Notamacropus eugenii: one gene and its partner. The protein of the gene in region 1 purifies or fractionates together with the protein of each later gene. This does not show direct contact. Links are inferred from orthologs where the notes say so. Each region holds a gene or a part of one and is shown on either strand. Other genes may lie near its edges.

Region 1 (7,924 bases):
AATTCTGATACATGTGTAATAAGGAATAAGTTCACAAGGCCTCTAAAGGTTTTCCCCATGTGGAGATGCTGGGAAACCTGCTTCCTGCTTCTAGGAGAGTCATGATGACATAGAAATGAAGATCCTGAAAGAGACTGTGGAGTGTGTCAGGACATTGAATAACTGGTTCCAATCAGCTTTGTTTGTCCTTCATTCCAGAAGAGGACCATGACATCAGAGGTAATGTCTTTGAGTTGCAAGTGAATTGGATTTAAGGGAAGGAGGGCTGTGCAAAGTCACCAGCCTTACTTTCTCCTCCAGAGTCATGTGGGTCAAGTGGCAAGATACAGATCAGGATGACTGGAGATGGTTCTCCATCAGCTTATTGCCCGAGAAAGAGGAACCTCTTTGGTTTACTGAGGAAGCATTCAAAAGGGCGTGGCAGTGTCAGTCGTGTTCTTAGCGTCAGAGCTCTAGGAGGTCTGGAGGATGACACCATCCTGGTATTGCATTCCAGAGTATCCTTCAGGACCCCAGCCTCATGACAGCTGTGACAAGTATTCATCTGGCAATGCTGCCACCTTTGCACACAGTGGTGGGACCAACATGATGTAGGAACTGAGCTAAGTATGAGCTGCTCTCAGACTTAGTCTCCCTATACGCCTACTCTCCTTGAGACTGAAGGAGTATAGGGAAGAGTATACCTCTAAGATACCAGGGAAAGTGTTGGTTCTTGTTGCACTTTCAAAGTAAATATTCCTTTGTAAAAGCTAATTGATGTTAAGTGGGGCACTATTTATTGGTATCTAACAATTGTGGGGAGAGAGGAGGAGGAATACAGTAGAGTGGGTTTTGCTTCTGGTAGTAGAGAAGCTATGACTGCAAATCCACTGCCTGGCTTTGGGAAATGATCCAGAACACACAAGTTACATATATATGAAATGCTATATAAACGTTAGCTATTATTATTTTTATTGTTGATGTGGTATGGAAACTGAAAAAGTCTGAGGACTACTTTTACTGAAAAGCACTGTACTTAGCAGATTTGATCAAATAAAAATATTCAAGTTAAGCGTAGGTAGCAGAACACTTTTTTTAGCTTGATTAAGAGTAGCAACTCCAAGGGCAGAATACATGGAAAATAATTAGATAATATGGGAGAAGACTACTCTGTTCTGTTTTAGGCTAATTTTACCCTACCCTATTTTACAAATGGGGCTTGATCATTTCTCCTTACTCATTAACTCTGTTTCTCTTCTACCACTGTGCTTTTCAGTTAACAGTTCAATTTAACAATTTAACAAACATTGACTAGATTAAACTGATCCACTACTTTCATTTGACTACCAGAATGTTCTCACTGTAACATTCCCACCTCCCTCCCTGCCCCCCCATTCTTAGGCCTTTTTACCTCCATCAACACTCTTTGCCTTCCCCACAGGGGTGTATTGCTGCTCGTTCCTGGCCTTTCCTATTTTTTCTCCCTGTGGAAACCTATCCATATCATCCCTTCAATCTCTTACTGAAAGGCAGCTTGGGAGAGTAGATGGAGAACCAGTTTCAGAATCAAGAAGGCCTAGGTTCAAGTTCTTTCTCTGATGAATTCCACTTAACTTTTCAGTGCCCCAGGCAATTGCCTAAACTAGTCATTTGCAGAAGGTGTTGGTGTGCAATACAACTTAAACCTGTCATAAGGAGTTCCCTTAACTAATAAAAACATATTACTTACACACACACACACACACACACACACACACACACTTTAAGGCTCTTACTATGAATGTGCAAGACATACTTCTGTTCTCCTAGCTGCAAATGTTAGTGCCCTCCTTCCCAAGCCACCCTGTACTTAATAATTTATATGTAAGTAAATATAGTTATATTTTGCAGTTAGATACTTTTGTATTTATTAATTTTATATTTATATATATATATGTATACATACATACATACACATATATATTTGGCACAGTGCCTGGCACATAGGAGGCACTTAATAAATGTTGGATTGGATTAGATTGGATACATACTTGGACTCTTTCGTTAGAATGTTAGCTCCTTGTGTGTAATTGTTTGTACTTTATACTGATATCCCAAAACATCTAGCATAGTAGATCTTAATACTTGTTGACTGATGGAATTGGACAACTGAAACTGTCTCCTAATTTCCTGCCTCTCCCATTTATCAATGGGGGAAGTGAAAGGGTGGGGAAAGTCATTCTTCTTTCAAAACAATATTTTAATTTTTCCAATTACATGTAAAAAAAGATCTTAACATTCATTTTAAACCATTCTCTACCTTAACAACCTCACACAGTTCCATAATTACAATTATCACTCTTAAGCAGATGACTCACAAATCTCTGTTTTGACCCTCAATCTCTCCTCTAAACTTGTCTCAAATTTTAAACAGATCTTGGACATTTGTACCTGAATATCTCATCTAAGCCCAAAACTCAATATATTTGAAACTAAACCCATCTGCCCTTCTATACCCTACCCAAAATCCTGCCCTTCCTTCTAGCTTCCCCATTTCTATTGATTGTACCACCAACCTCCTCAGTATCATCCTTGATTCATTTACTTTGATTCTCCTCCATGCAATAAATTCCCAAGTCTTGTTCATTCAGTCTCTGTATTATCTCTTGCATCTGTACATCCCTTTCCAGTTTCACTGCTATCACCACAACTCAGACCTGTACTATTGTCCTTGCCTATGGTTTTGCCTTGAGAAACATCATAGCACAATAATTCTAGGGCAGACCTTAGAGTCAAGGAGACATGGATTCAAATTCTGTCCCTGGCACAGACATGTGCCTCAGTGCTTCCAAGTAGCTAAGACTATAAATTAATGTAGAGAGAACTTCCTTTGGGCTAGAGAATTTCCTATACAGGTCTGAACCAACCCCTCCCCCCCCAAATTCCGCTTTTCTCATTCTTACTTTTGTTATATTTATGTACCTTATACCCTCTTGCAGGAACTGTCTTTTTCATTTTTGATGGCCCATTGTATTTTACCTGGTATTAATCAATCTTTACTGAGTACCTTCCATGCTCCAGGCACTGTGCTAAGTGCTGGGGATATGAAAAGAAGCAAAAGATAGTCCCAGACCTCAAGGAGGTCACCATCTGATAAATTGTGAGACAGTAGTAGATGCTTCAGAAAATATTTCTTGGATTGAATATACACTTTTTAGTATATGTCTTATCTCCCTATTTGTACGGACACATTTTCCTATAATAACTACCTGTTGCTAGTCTCATGCATAAGGAGCAAGGTACAGTGGCTCACATCATAAGACTTGCTGGGTATGTTCAAAAGCATCTGGTCAGCTTGATATTCTCCTTGTCATTAAAAGTCACTTAGAAGTCTTCTGTAGATACCCAAACCTCAGCTAGTGTGAAACCTGTGGTCTGTATTAAACCCGTTGCATATGAACCATGAGTCACTTGCAGGTACTGCACTACTGACAATGAACCACATCTTCTCAAGAGCCGCTGTACTTAATACTAGAGAAAAGCAATCTGTTACTCTGTTGATTATCTAGGGCAGCTAGGTGGTGTAGTGGATAGAGCACTGGGCCTGGAATCAGGAAGACCTGAGCTCAAATACAGCCTCACACTGCTAGTTGTGAGACCCTGGGAAAATCACTTAACCCCTGCTTGTCTCAGTTCCTCAACTGTAAAATGGGGACACACCTGAAAAGGAAATGGCAAACCACTCCAGTATCTTTGCCAAGAAAATCCCACGGACAAGGGCATAGGGACGCAGAGTTGAACAAGATTGAAGGACTTTACCCACAAAAGTGGTCATCCAGCAAAAGAGTGAAATACTAGTTGTTGCCACTAGATGGCTTTCTCCTTGAGTCCTGTATCCTTGTCAGTTTCTTTCTGCTAGATCTAATAAGGTACAATTTCCCAAAAGTTTTACTGTATGGAGTCTAGCCGCCACTTAACCTGATTACACCTAGGCTGATCCCACATCACCAGCGGCCCCTCTTCTGCTGACAGTGCTGAGAGGTTCAAAACCTACGCTAGCCAGATTTGGAATCTTAACTAGGCGACAATGTTACTATTGTTTTGTTACTATCTTACGGTTCAAAGTATCAAAAACATCAGCTGACCTCACTCCCCCTCCAGAGGTCAGTGGGCACTCTCCCCTCCAAAGACAATTCCCCACATTCTTAAGAGACAGGTTTTCCAGCAGATAGCCAGATAGAGCACCACCCTCAGAATCAGGAAGACCTGGGTTCCAATCCTACCTCAGACACTTCCTAGCTGTGTGGAGCAAGGCACTTAAGCTCGCTAAGTCTCAGTTTCTTCATCTGTAAAATGAACATAATAAAAATAGCCCCTACATTAGGGTTATTGTAAAGTACATCATCACATGGGATCTTTAAGGCATGTAAAGAACTTTGAAAGTCTTAAATCAAGGAGTAAAAAAGAATACTACTGACCTAGTACCTAGTGGATAAGGCCCTGGATTTGGAGTCAGATGGAGCTGGGTTCCAACTTTGCCTCAGCAGCATGACGCTTAACTTCAGTCTGCCTCGGTTTCCTCGTATTTTTACAGGGCTATAACAGCACCTCCTTCACTGGGCTGCTGTGAACGTAAAATGAGATATTTGTGAAGCTCTTTGAAAACCTTGATTAGGTTTATAAATACTGGCTGTTATTAGTAGTTGTTCTATGACCTTGGGCAAGTCGCTTAAGCTCAGTTTCCCCAAGTGCAAAGTGAGGGGGCTCCCGGCTCGGGAGTCTGATAAAGAGCATTGTACGCTCCTCGACCCACCGACTCCCTCCCTCCCTCCCTCAGGCCCCGCCTTCCTTCCGCCTTCCCTCAGGCCCCGCCTCCCACCTTCTCTCAGGTCCCGCCCTCCTTCCGTCAGGCCCCGCCTTCCTTCCTCCTTCCGTCAGGTCCCGCCCTCCTTCCCTCAGGCCCTGCCTTCCTCCTCTCAGGGCTCTTCCCTCCACAGACGGCCGCGTGAGCTCGTCGCGCTCCTGTGTCGTCATCATCTCGCGCCGCCGCTGCCGGCTTTACCTCGGAAGCCGCGTGCAGCTTCTGGTCTCTGGAGCCAGTCGGGCTCCCAGAGGCGGGCTTGACCCTTAGCTCGTCTGTCTTCCGGCGTGGTGGTCCAGGGCCGGCGTCCGTGGCGTTTGGGCTGTCCAGAATGGCGATGCTGGCTGAACGTGAGTTCCCCCTGTTCGGGGGGCGCCCGGGGGGGTTGAGCAGACGAGGGCTCGAAGTCGCGCCGAAGTCCTGGTGTCCATGCAGGGGCGCCCGTGGAAGGCTCCCCGGTGAATCCCGGCCCCGCAGTGGTCACGTCACCTTCCCGTGCCTCCTGGTGGGCTCTGTCACTCCCGTGGCCTCTATCCGGCCTACGTCCGAGGCACCTAGGGGATGGAGCGCTGGACCTGGAGTCAGGTGACCTGCCTCACTCTTAGCAGCCGGCCGAGCCTGGGCAGATCAGCCTCAGTTCTCCCACCTGTCCAGTGGGACCAGCCACGGCGCTAAACACGGGGACAGCCCCTGACCCGCTCACGGTAGGGTGGGGGGAACCGCATGCGGACGTTTATGTCCGAACAAGCCGTAGACAGGATACACTGGAGCTGATCCACGGAGGGAAGGCTCTAGAATTGAGGGGGATCGGAAAGGTGTCCTGTGGAAGGCGGGCGTTGAGCTGGTGCTCGAAGGGAGCGCGCAGGTGGAGGTGAGGAGATGCAGGTCCCCCACGTGGGGGTCTGCCCGTGAAAACATCCGGAGGTGGGAGACGGGAGCGTCTCCTTGAAGGACACTGGATTGCAGAGTATGTGTTTGGAGATGTCGGAAGCTTGGGAGGGGCAGGGGCAGCTTCCTGGAGGTGTTAAGTTGTCTCTGGAGTTTATGGAAGTGAGAAGATGGAATGGTTCGCACGGTGCTTTAGGGAGATGGCTTTGACAGCTGTCAGTTATCCTCATCTGGGTGTAGAGTGGGGTGGAGGTGGGCACCACAAGTGAAGGAGCAGCCCCGACGTCAGAGCTGTGGGGTTAAACAGGATGCAGTGAAGTGTCTTACACCGAAAATTAAAAACGATTTGTAAGTCAGCAAGCATTTAAGCACTTACTCTGTGCCAGACACTGTGCTAGGACTGGGAATTTAAATAAAGGAAAAGGAAAACCGCACCTTGTACTCAAGGAACTTACATTCTACTGGGGGAAGACCACCCATAAAAGGAGGGGGGGGGTTTCTCAGGCTTGGGAAACAACCGTCCAGAGTGGGCATTGGGAAATACTGCCACCAGGTGGCAGTGGTGTCTTTGATTTGGCAAAGAATACCCTCACCATGCACTTAAAATCAATCAATCAATTAAGCATCTATTTTGCGCTGGGCACTGTGTGGAGGAATATAGTGCTGAAATTGCCATTCTGAACTTGTAAAACAGCTACAAATATCACGTGATAGTTTCAAGTTGAATTTCTAATTTTTAAGAACATTCAACTTATATTTGACTGTTGCCAGTGTATTAAGGTAGATCTAGAAAACTCAGAAAATAATTCTTAGTTCTGAATTTAGAAAATAAGGAATGGCAGGATAGAGCATAAGAAATTAGGTAACATTTAATGAGGCTATTTCAAAGTGATAAATGTGTAGAACAAGCTTTTAAGGAAAAACAATTTGGAGAACTTGTTCCTCTGTTACTCAACCTAAACTGTTACTAATTCTTCATCCCTTTACTTTTTCTTTTGAAGTCTTCAGAGAGGAAAGTGTTGGCTTTTTTCTTTCACATACCTGACTTGATGTGCCTTTGACTTCTCCCATCTCTGAAGTTACTATACCACTTTGCCTCTTGTACCTTAGTGGCCCTCAGAAGAAAAAGGGGTCAAAGGCCACTCACCAGTTTGCCTAGTGCTGGTTCCACTTGCCTTGGGTTGTGTATAAATAGATACCTCTGTGTGGAAGTATTTTTGTCCTGCTTCAATGCATACATACTTAGCTAGAATATTGGACCTCCTGCCAAATGGACTGAATTGGGAAGATTTTGTATAATAGTATTTAACACTTATGTTACATAATTACAGTTACTGTTGATATTTATATAGCACTTCAAGATTTGTAAAGGGCTTTACTCATAGTGCCTCATTTTCACAACTGCACAGTGCAGTTATTATTAGCATCTTCATTTTACATATTTGGAAACCAAGGTCCAGAGATTTGTTCATGGTTATGCAACTAGTTTCAGAGGAAGAATATGAACCCCATCTTCCTGACTCTATGTCCAAGACTGTCACTACAGTGTGCCATGTTATACTTTTATGTTTCAAGGTGGTCTTATATTCCCAATGTGCCAGGCAGGGCCAGCATTAACATTGTTTATACATGAGGAAACTGAAACATAGACAGGAACAGATATTTCTAGCTTCACTCAGCTGCTGTGAAGCTAGAAATGATGGTCAGGTATCCTGAAACTCCCCCGTTCAATCCCACTGTGTTCACCTTTGCATATAACTTTTACTTGATAGTGTTGTTAGAAATTTTAAAGAAAATATGGTTCCAGCCTCAGTAAAGTTTAGTGCTTTATGATTAGCAAAAAAAAAATCTAGATTGTTCTAACATTTAGTATTTTTTTAGTCCCATTTTTAGTGGCTGTGTAGCATCTCACTCATCTGGAACAGCCATTTGGCAGCCTTTCCTATTCAAAATACGGGCAAGAGATGGGAAGTATGCAAAGAAAAAGTCCTCTGAAGGGTTGTAATTGATTTTTTAAAAGTTCATGCATTGAAAGCTTATATACTTTATTGATAGGGGAGTGACTTAAGCCCTTATTCAGAGGCTACTTTTATTTTACATCTAGTTTTAACAAGTTTAGTTATTTAATTTCCAGGCTTACAACAGGCTAGAAAAACCAAATTAGGATGGGGAGAGAGATATACTGACAACAGCAGGAAGCCACATCTAACATCAAGG
Region 2 (7,765 bases), on another chromosome or scaffold:
GCTTTCCTCAAATCCAATTTGACTGAGGATTTTTTCTGGAAGGAAATCTTCTTTCTGACATTGTCAAGTGAGACATTTGGTTCCTCCTTCGGATATTTTTTTCGCAAGAACCCAGATGGAGAGACAGAATCTTTTAAATTGAGTTCATAGATAGGTAGCCCAGAGATCTGGTAAGAGCAGGTTGGGGGTACCATCATGAAAATGGAACAGTGCTCTAACATATACATCATCACATCATCTCCTATCCTGCTTAAAAGTATCTCCCACAAGGCACTGACACTAATTGTTTCTGTTACTGTGTTAGGGTGATAGTTGTAGACGTTTGTGGTAAACTTAACTGGCAATGGCATTCTATTTTCCTCTAAAAGGGTGTATCCAAAAGCCAGAATATTCTTTTTTTTCTTTTCACAAATCCTCTGGACAATTCTAGCAACTACTTCCTTCTGGGAAGACAGCTAAAGAAAGAAAAAAATTCAAAATTGCTGATGGCAGTTTTTTCCAACTTTCTAAATAATATTCATAAGGTGATCCTGGGACCAAAATTCATCTCAATGTTACTCAAAGCAGAGAGCCAATTCAAAACTACATTCAACAACATTTTAAAGTTTCTTCCATATGCAGGGCACCAGGCTAGAAGAAACTAGAACCATATCCCCTTGAAAGTAGATTAAAGAAAATATAAGTCAATCAACAACCATTTTAAAGGCACCAACCATGTGCCAATGCTGGGGATAGAAAGGCAAAATATAAAGCCTGCTTTCAAGGGTCTCACATTCTAATGGAGAGACATAATCCTTTCCCTTGTATTCTACAGGGAGTAAGACAACCTATACATTTAAGTATATCGATAAATAGAAAGCAATTAAACAAAAGGTAGTTTGGGAATGAGTTCACAAATTAGCAGCTGGGAGAAAGCAGAAAGATTTCCTGAACAGGATGCTGCTCAAGGCACATTGCGAAAAAAATAAGGGATGGTACAAGACAAAGGTAAGGAAGGAGTGCATTCCAGACATGAAAGATAATGGCCAATTCAAAGTCCCAGAGAAGGAAAATGGAATGTTTGTGTAAACAATAGAGAAAAGTCTAGTTAAGCTTCACCCTAAAGTCAGGCAAATGGAGTAATGCATAATGAGGATGGGGCCAGGTTGTGAAAGGCCTTAAAAAGCTCCATAAAAGAGTTTACATGTTCTAGAATGGAAGGTGGAAGTACCAGAGAGCCCGTAGAGTTTACTGAATAGGAGAGTGCCAAGATCAGATCTGAGCTTATAAAAAAATCACTTTTGTGGTGACTGTGTGGAAAACGCATGCAAAGGGAAAGAAACATGAGGGAGGGAGATAAAAGATAAGGCTATCATAATGGTTCAGGGAGGAAGTGATAACTTTGTAAATAGAAATGGAAGGAGGTTGTAAAGGTAGAAATGGTGGGACCTAGAAAGTGATTGGATATGTGGTGTGGTGCTAAGGTTATAAACCTGACATGCTAGAAGAATAGTAGTATCCTCAACAGAAATAGGAGTGGGTTTTGGGGAAGAGGTAATGAGTTCTGTTTTGGATATGAGCTTGAGATGTCTCTGGGACGTCCAATCTGAAACATCCAATAGGCAAGGAGCGATGGAATTCAACAGAAACGCTGGGACTTGAATATTTCGTTTTACTAGATGATGGAGTCACCCAATGAGAGAAGAGGGCCCATAATATGGCTCTGGAAGACACCCACACAGGGGGCGTGCCCAGGATGAAGAACCAGCAAAGCATCCTGAGAAGGAATGGTGGTTAGGTTAAGAGGAAAACCAGGACAGAGTGTTTTTTACAAAAATTGGGGACGGGAGGATAGTCAACAGTGTCCAATGACACAGGTCAAAAAAGATGAGTCAAGAAAGCCCCCAGATTTGGTCATTAAGAGATCACTGGTAACTTTAGAGAAAGCAATTTCAGTCCCTGTGATGGGATCCAAGGCCATACTACAAAGGTCGAGAAGAGAATGAGAAAAGACTGTAGAAGGATTTTTCCAAGAGTCTAGCTGAGAACGGGAGAGGAGATATAGAGCAATTAAATGCTAGAGGAGATAATAAGGTTCAGAGAGTTCTTTAAGAATTGGGGAACCTTGGGCACATTTGAAAGCAACAGGGAAGGAATCAACAGATAGGGAGAGATTGAAGGTTAAGGAATGGGGGGGAGGGGGTGGAAGGTGCAATCTATAAGAGAAAAACCCGGGGAATGGAATCTAAGAGCACAGGTAGAACGGCTGGCTTTGGCAGGAAGGGCTCATCTCATCACAGAGAGAGGTGGAAAGTAAGAGGTGACTTCCGCAGGGAAGGTATGTGGAGCTTAAGGACAGCCTGAAGATGCTTCAGTGGGGAGTGGAACAGGAAATTACCTATGGAGAAATGAAAGGTAGAGTCCGAGCAGCCCAAGGTGTTAAATGACTTGCTTCCCTGAAACAATTGGAGTATTTAATCCAAATACTCTCTTGGTCGAGTGGGTAGAAAGGAGCAGGCCCCCCGCCAACCGCCAGCCACTGAGGAAGCCCCGAGTTTCGGTCCGATACTCCCACCCCAGGGCTCCTGGCAAGGATGCATGCATTACCTGCCGGAAGGTGAGAGGCCTGGGGAGGGGCCGGGCACCCCACGGCACACACACCACACAGCCGGACACAAAAACCTGGAAGACCTCGGGATCCCCGCTGCGCAGGAGCCGCACGGCTACCTGCTGGTCCGGCCGGTCCCCCGGAGCCCGCGCGGTCCGCGCCTCGTCCTCGAGGCGCTGCACGAACTCCGCCAGCCCCAGCACATCCCGGTAGCTGTCCCGCAGCACCTCGCGCACCGGGCGGAAGGCCGCCGAGGCCAGCAAGGAGCGCGGGGCCGGGGGCCGGGAAGCCATGGTGCGCGAGGGCCCGGGAGGGTGGGCGCCGCCGCTCCTCCCGCTGCTGCACCTGCCTGCGCTGCAGCTGCCACCCAGAGAGCAGGCTAGGAGCCCGCCGCGGAGGCAGACCAAGGGGCGGCTGGGAGCGGCGAGGCCGGGCGAGGAGGGTAACCCGGGGGAGCCCGAGCTGGGCTGCAGCCCGCAGCGGGGCGGGGCGGGGAGAAGAGGCAGGCGGAAGAGGAAAAGGGGAGGGGGCTTTGGGGCGTCTGGGCTCTTAAAGGGACAACAGCGCCTGGGAAAAGACTAGAAGGTGTCAGGAAGGATTCTGGAGCCCAATTGTTAATTTTCATTTACACTTTCTGGGAGAAGCCATATTTGATAATTCAACATTGTTAATTCAATGTTGGGGGAGGGGGGAGTCCTTAAGTACCTACTAAGTACCTATCTATTAAGCACCTACTATGTGCCACTCATTTTGTGCTAAGCACTGGGATAAAATCGAAGAATCTCAATCTTCAAAGGAGCCACCAAGCTCCACCTAGCCCATCCCAAACCTGAAAAAAGTTCCCTCTGCAACATTCTCTTTCCTACTGTGACTTTGTAACAGGCGTAAATGTTGCCTGTTACAGCTGATATTCCCTCTATCTTGATTCTTTACTATCTTTGTAAAACCTGCGCTCAGGAAGGACCAGCACCTCGGTGTGAGGGCTGACGGATGACTTTTCTGGGCTGCTCCTTCACGTTTGATGTCCACCTTCACCAACTCTCACCTGCATCTCCAAGAAGCTGTAGCATGCTCAGCAGCCACATCAGCAGATGGGCTAAACCAAGTTGAGGATAAGTGACAGGCCTCAAGCTGGTTGGTGAGTTGGGAGGGGCGGGTGTCTACCCCATGCACATGAAGACTTCCCAGGGCTGAAGGGGCCCATGAGAACAATTTGGTCCAAGGGCCATGAAGATAGCTGAACCAGGTGCTTAGATTGCTCAAGTATCAAAGAATCAAGATTATCCACTGCATCCATCTCCAGTCATCTTAACTTTCCTCTTGCCACTGGACTTTGATGACTGGAAGAGACAGCGAGGCTGTTGTCTTTGCAACCTGTCTCACTTAAATTCAGTTCACACCGGGAGTCAAAACAGCACCCCATGATGTCATTGGTCTTCTTCTAAGGACAAACAACTGTTCAGACCCAGATAGACACACCCATTCTCTTTGCTCCTATCTATTCCACCAGCCCAGCTTATGTGGTCAGTGTGGAAAACTAGTCTCTCTTTCCAGGATAAGAAGCTTTGTTTATAATGAAATAACTAATGGAATGAATTTAAACATTTATTGAGCACTAACTGGTAGCAGAACACTATACTAAGTACCTAAAAAATTGAAAAACTTATTTATCCCTTTTGTTGAGGGAATATACCATGCACTGGGGAGAAACAATGTATGCATATGAAATGATATGAATACCAAGATATGATGCATTTCTTGAACTTTCAAAATGAAATAAGTATTCTGAAATTCTCCATGTTTTCCTAGGGGAAAATTTGAATAAGAATTCTAGACATTTGATATGGAAAGTACGTCAGAAGTGTTCTAGCCCAGCCTACAGTTGGTTATGAATTCCCAAGATAATTTCCACATCACTTGAATGCCATTATTGATTTTGGTTATGTTACCATCTACTCTGCTACACCATCCCTGGCACAGCACCCTTGTAACCAGATTTCTAAAGACTGTGTCTTGAGTGGTTAATCCCCTCTGCTTTGGAGCTCCATCCTGAGCTCAGCTCTTCTGACAGGTATATGAAGCACAAATTCACCTATCCTACTGTCTCTAGCCAGCCCCTAGAATGAGACTGCTTGGGGCAGGGATAGCTTTATGGCCAATCTCAGCAGGAAGTAGCTATGAAAGAAGAGACTTTTGCCCCTTACCCCAAGATTTTGGGCCGCATTTGCTGAGAGGGAATGAAGGGGGTGCTTATGCTCAAACTAGAGTCCATGAACCCATTATCATAGCCTCATTCACTATTGCTTACTGTTTTCCAATTTGCATTCCCGGGGTCATCATTCTGGCTAGAGGTACACCCTCTTCAATCTGAGCTGGGACCCGGCCAACTCCCCATTCTCCCTACAGGTGTGATGAACCTGGATACAATGTTTCAGAATGATCTGCAGGGGCAGCTCCTACCTCCTTGCTCAGTCTAAAACCAATCTTCTATCTACGATACATTTTATATAGTTCATTAGTTGGAATGCCATCTGTTCTTCCAAAATCTACTCCTGCTCTCAACAGAGCAACAAAACTCTTTCCTTATCAATCCTCTCTGACCTTGAATCCACTGGCTATTCATTCCTCTGTCTCCAGAAAACCTATCTTTTTCACTAATTCTCACCATCCAAAGTACCAATGATTCTCTCATCTTTTGGGTGAACCAACTCAAAACATCTGTGACGTCCTGCTGAGAAAAATCCTTAGTTACCTCCTACCTACCTTTGGGGAGGTAATTGTGGAGGAACCCTGATTCCCCTGCTTCCTTCTTAATACTGGCCCAACTTCAGCCACCTCACTTGTTTCATTCTCCTTCCACACATCCTCCTGGCCTGTGTTTAAGCCCGAATCAAATCCAGCCTGCACAAGGGCTGCCTTCACTTTCCTATTGTTAACTTTTCGCCTCCTGTGAGACAAACCAACAACAACCTTCTCTTCTACCACTGGAAACTCTCCAGCTTCCTCTCCCAAGGGCAGCCCGAACACTGCTGGACAAAAATTCTCTCCAGCCAATTCCCTTTCCATCTGAGCCTTCTCCTCCAGCAGCCCATCTCACAGCATTTGCATACTGTGAGAGACAGCGAAAGTTAAGTTTCCACAACAAGTTATTGTTAATTGATGAAGTCATTGAGAATAAGATAATAAGAAGACCATCGGACAGTGGCCTTCAGAAAATTACAAAGTTTTTGATAAAGGAACCAAATCTACAGCTAGCTGGAACTAGCCAAGAAAAATGACCTAGAGTTACCTAGAGAAGGCTTTTCTTTACTGCATTTGCTTAATGAACTTCATGCATATGCTTAAGCAGACACACCCTGCATAAAATTATCCCTCCATTTTCTGATCATGGGTCCCATGTTAGAGCATGTTTGGGAGGGGGAATCATACTAAAGGGGGTTACATAATGGACATGCAGAGAAGAGGTTGACCTAAGGGAGGATGGACCCATCCATCTCCTGGTGGGAGTATTTGTCTTGAACTAATGGTATATAGTTCATTTCACTTCTGTATTCAGTGCTCTCTCCTCCTGAAAAGAGGGTGGGGGCCCACTTTGGCCAAAATGATCAATTCCTCTGAACTCTGCAGCAATACATTTTACTTGATACCTTAGTGTCAAGAGTGTCTCTAATACATACAATTCGAGGCAAAAATGGTTTTTTCTTTTCTGAGTCTCCCTGGCCCTCACTACACCCTAGCCCTCACTACACCCTAGCACATAAGGTTCCAGCCATCTTCTGGAGTCCTTCATCCAGAGCTTAGCAAAGCCCTGCCTCTCCTACATAACCCTGCCATTTCTTTCCCTGGTGCCTTTGTTATTCCCTGGAAATATATTTCCAACTCTCTGGGTTCTCCTTTCTGTAGCCTCAGTTCCCAGTTTTCACAAAGTCCTGTGCCCTTAGCACATTCTCTTTCTGGGGCAGAACAAAAATCCTCCCACCCTGGGATGTCCATTTGTTCCTCTGACTCCTCTGCCTTTTTGCCTCCAAATTGAGGTCAGATATTTCATTATCCCATCCCCATGACCATTTGTAGTGCAAATGTAATATTCACAGCACCCAGGGCAGCCATGAATATCATAGTGCAATTCAGAATAGCAAAATACCACAGACTATCTAGGTGGAAAGCAGAAACAAAACATTTATTCAGACCCAAATCCATCACAGCAATGAAAATTTATACACAATAACAATGTAGAGGACAACACCATCCCCAAACCATCCCCCTGCTAGGCTTCCCACAAACCAGGTCCATTATACTCATCACAAGCAGGCTCTCAAACAAACTCACAATCACAAAATCACTCATGCTACCCAGGAGCCAGCATCCTTCCTAGCAGTGACTCTCAAGACTTACTTCCTCTCAGCTCTACTCTAGCTCCCCCTCTTCTTGTTCCACTCCATTCAGCAAACTCCTCCCACCACAAGCTCCATGGGACTTAATGGGCCTATTAATGAATAGGAAAGATTTTCCAATTCAAATTATCATTACACTTCCTCAGGAACAAGTAATGCCTGTCTAACTTTAGTTCCCATTTCTACTAAACTGGAAGATCTTGGAAATGCCACAGATAGAGCTTACCTGAATTTTAGCCAAATAGTTGTTAGGATAGAGTACGTCATGCTATTCTTGTGGGGGAAAAAACAGAAAGGAAAGCCACTTCACTGGTGTCGAATTCAAATAAAAGTGGGGTCACTAAAATGTGCATAAGGATCCCTGCCCACATATTGATTTAGAAAACCACAAAATAATATTATCTATATTCTACTGTATTTTTTACTTATTTTGTAAAGTATTTCCTCATTACGTTTTAATTTGGTTTCTGCCATATTGGCATGTTGCTGCAAGGGCTATAGGTCACATGCTTGATACCCAGATGATAGTACAATTAGATGGACTGAGAACTGATTAAATGGCCAGACTCAAAGAGTGGTCATTAATGGTTCAATGTCAACTTGGAAGGAGGTTCCCACTGGAGTGCTCCAAGAATTTATGCTGGATTCTGTGCTAAGATTTTTATTAGTACATGAATAAAATCGGAAACAGAATCCTTTTCAAATTTGCAGATTACACCAAATGCAGAGCAATAGCTAGCACACTGTATGACTGAGTCAGGATCCAAAAAAGAATTTGACATTA

What was found. Proteins that work in one complex are often made in the same cells at the same time.
Region 2: the proteins of PINX1 (region 1) and TERT purify together in Homo sapiens (co-immunoprecipitation; 3 studies listed by BioGRID and IntAct, with this or other methods). This does not show direct contact. The link is inferred for Notamacropus eugenii from reciprocal best matches to the Homo sapiens genes PINX1 and TERT.

What each region holds. Positions count from the first base shown.
Region 1 is NC_092872.1:610,371,670-610,379,593, reverse strand, and holds the start of PINX1 (PIN2/TERF1-interacting telomerase inhibitor 1), read left to right. Parts: upstream 1-4,833; 5' UTR 4,834-5,150; coding exon 5,151-5,169; intron 5,170-7,924. UniProt on the Homo sapiens protein: Microtubule-binding protein essential for faithful chromosome segregation. Mediates TRF1 and TERT accumulation in nucleolus and enhances TRF1 binding to telomeres. Inhibits telomerase activity. May inhibit cell proliferation and act as tumor suppressor.
Region 2 is NC_092875.1:345,754,007-345,761,771, forward strand, and holds the start of TERT (telomerase reverse transcriptase), read right to left. Parts: upstream 3,105-7,765; 5' UTR 2,881-3,104; coding exon 2,587-2,880; intron 456-2,586; coding exon 1-455. UniProt on the Homo sapiens protein: Telomerase is a ribonucleoprotein enzyme essential for the replication of chromosome termini in most eukaryotes. Active in progenitor and cancer cells. Inactive, or very low activity, in normal somatic cells.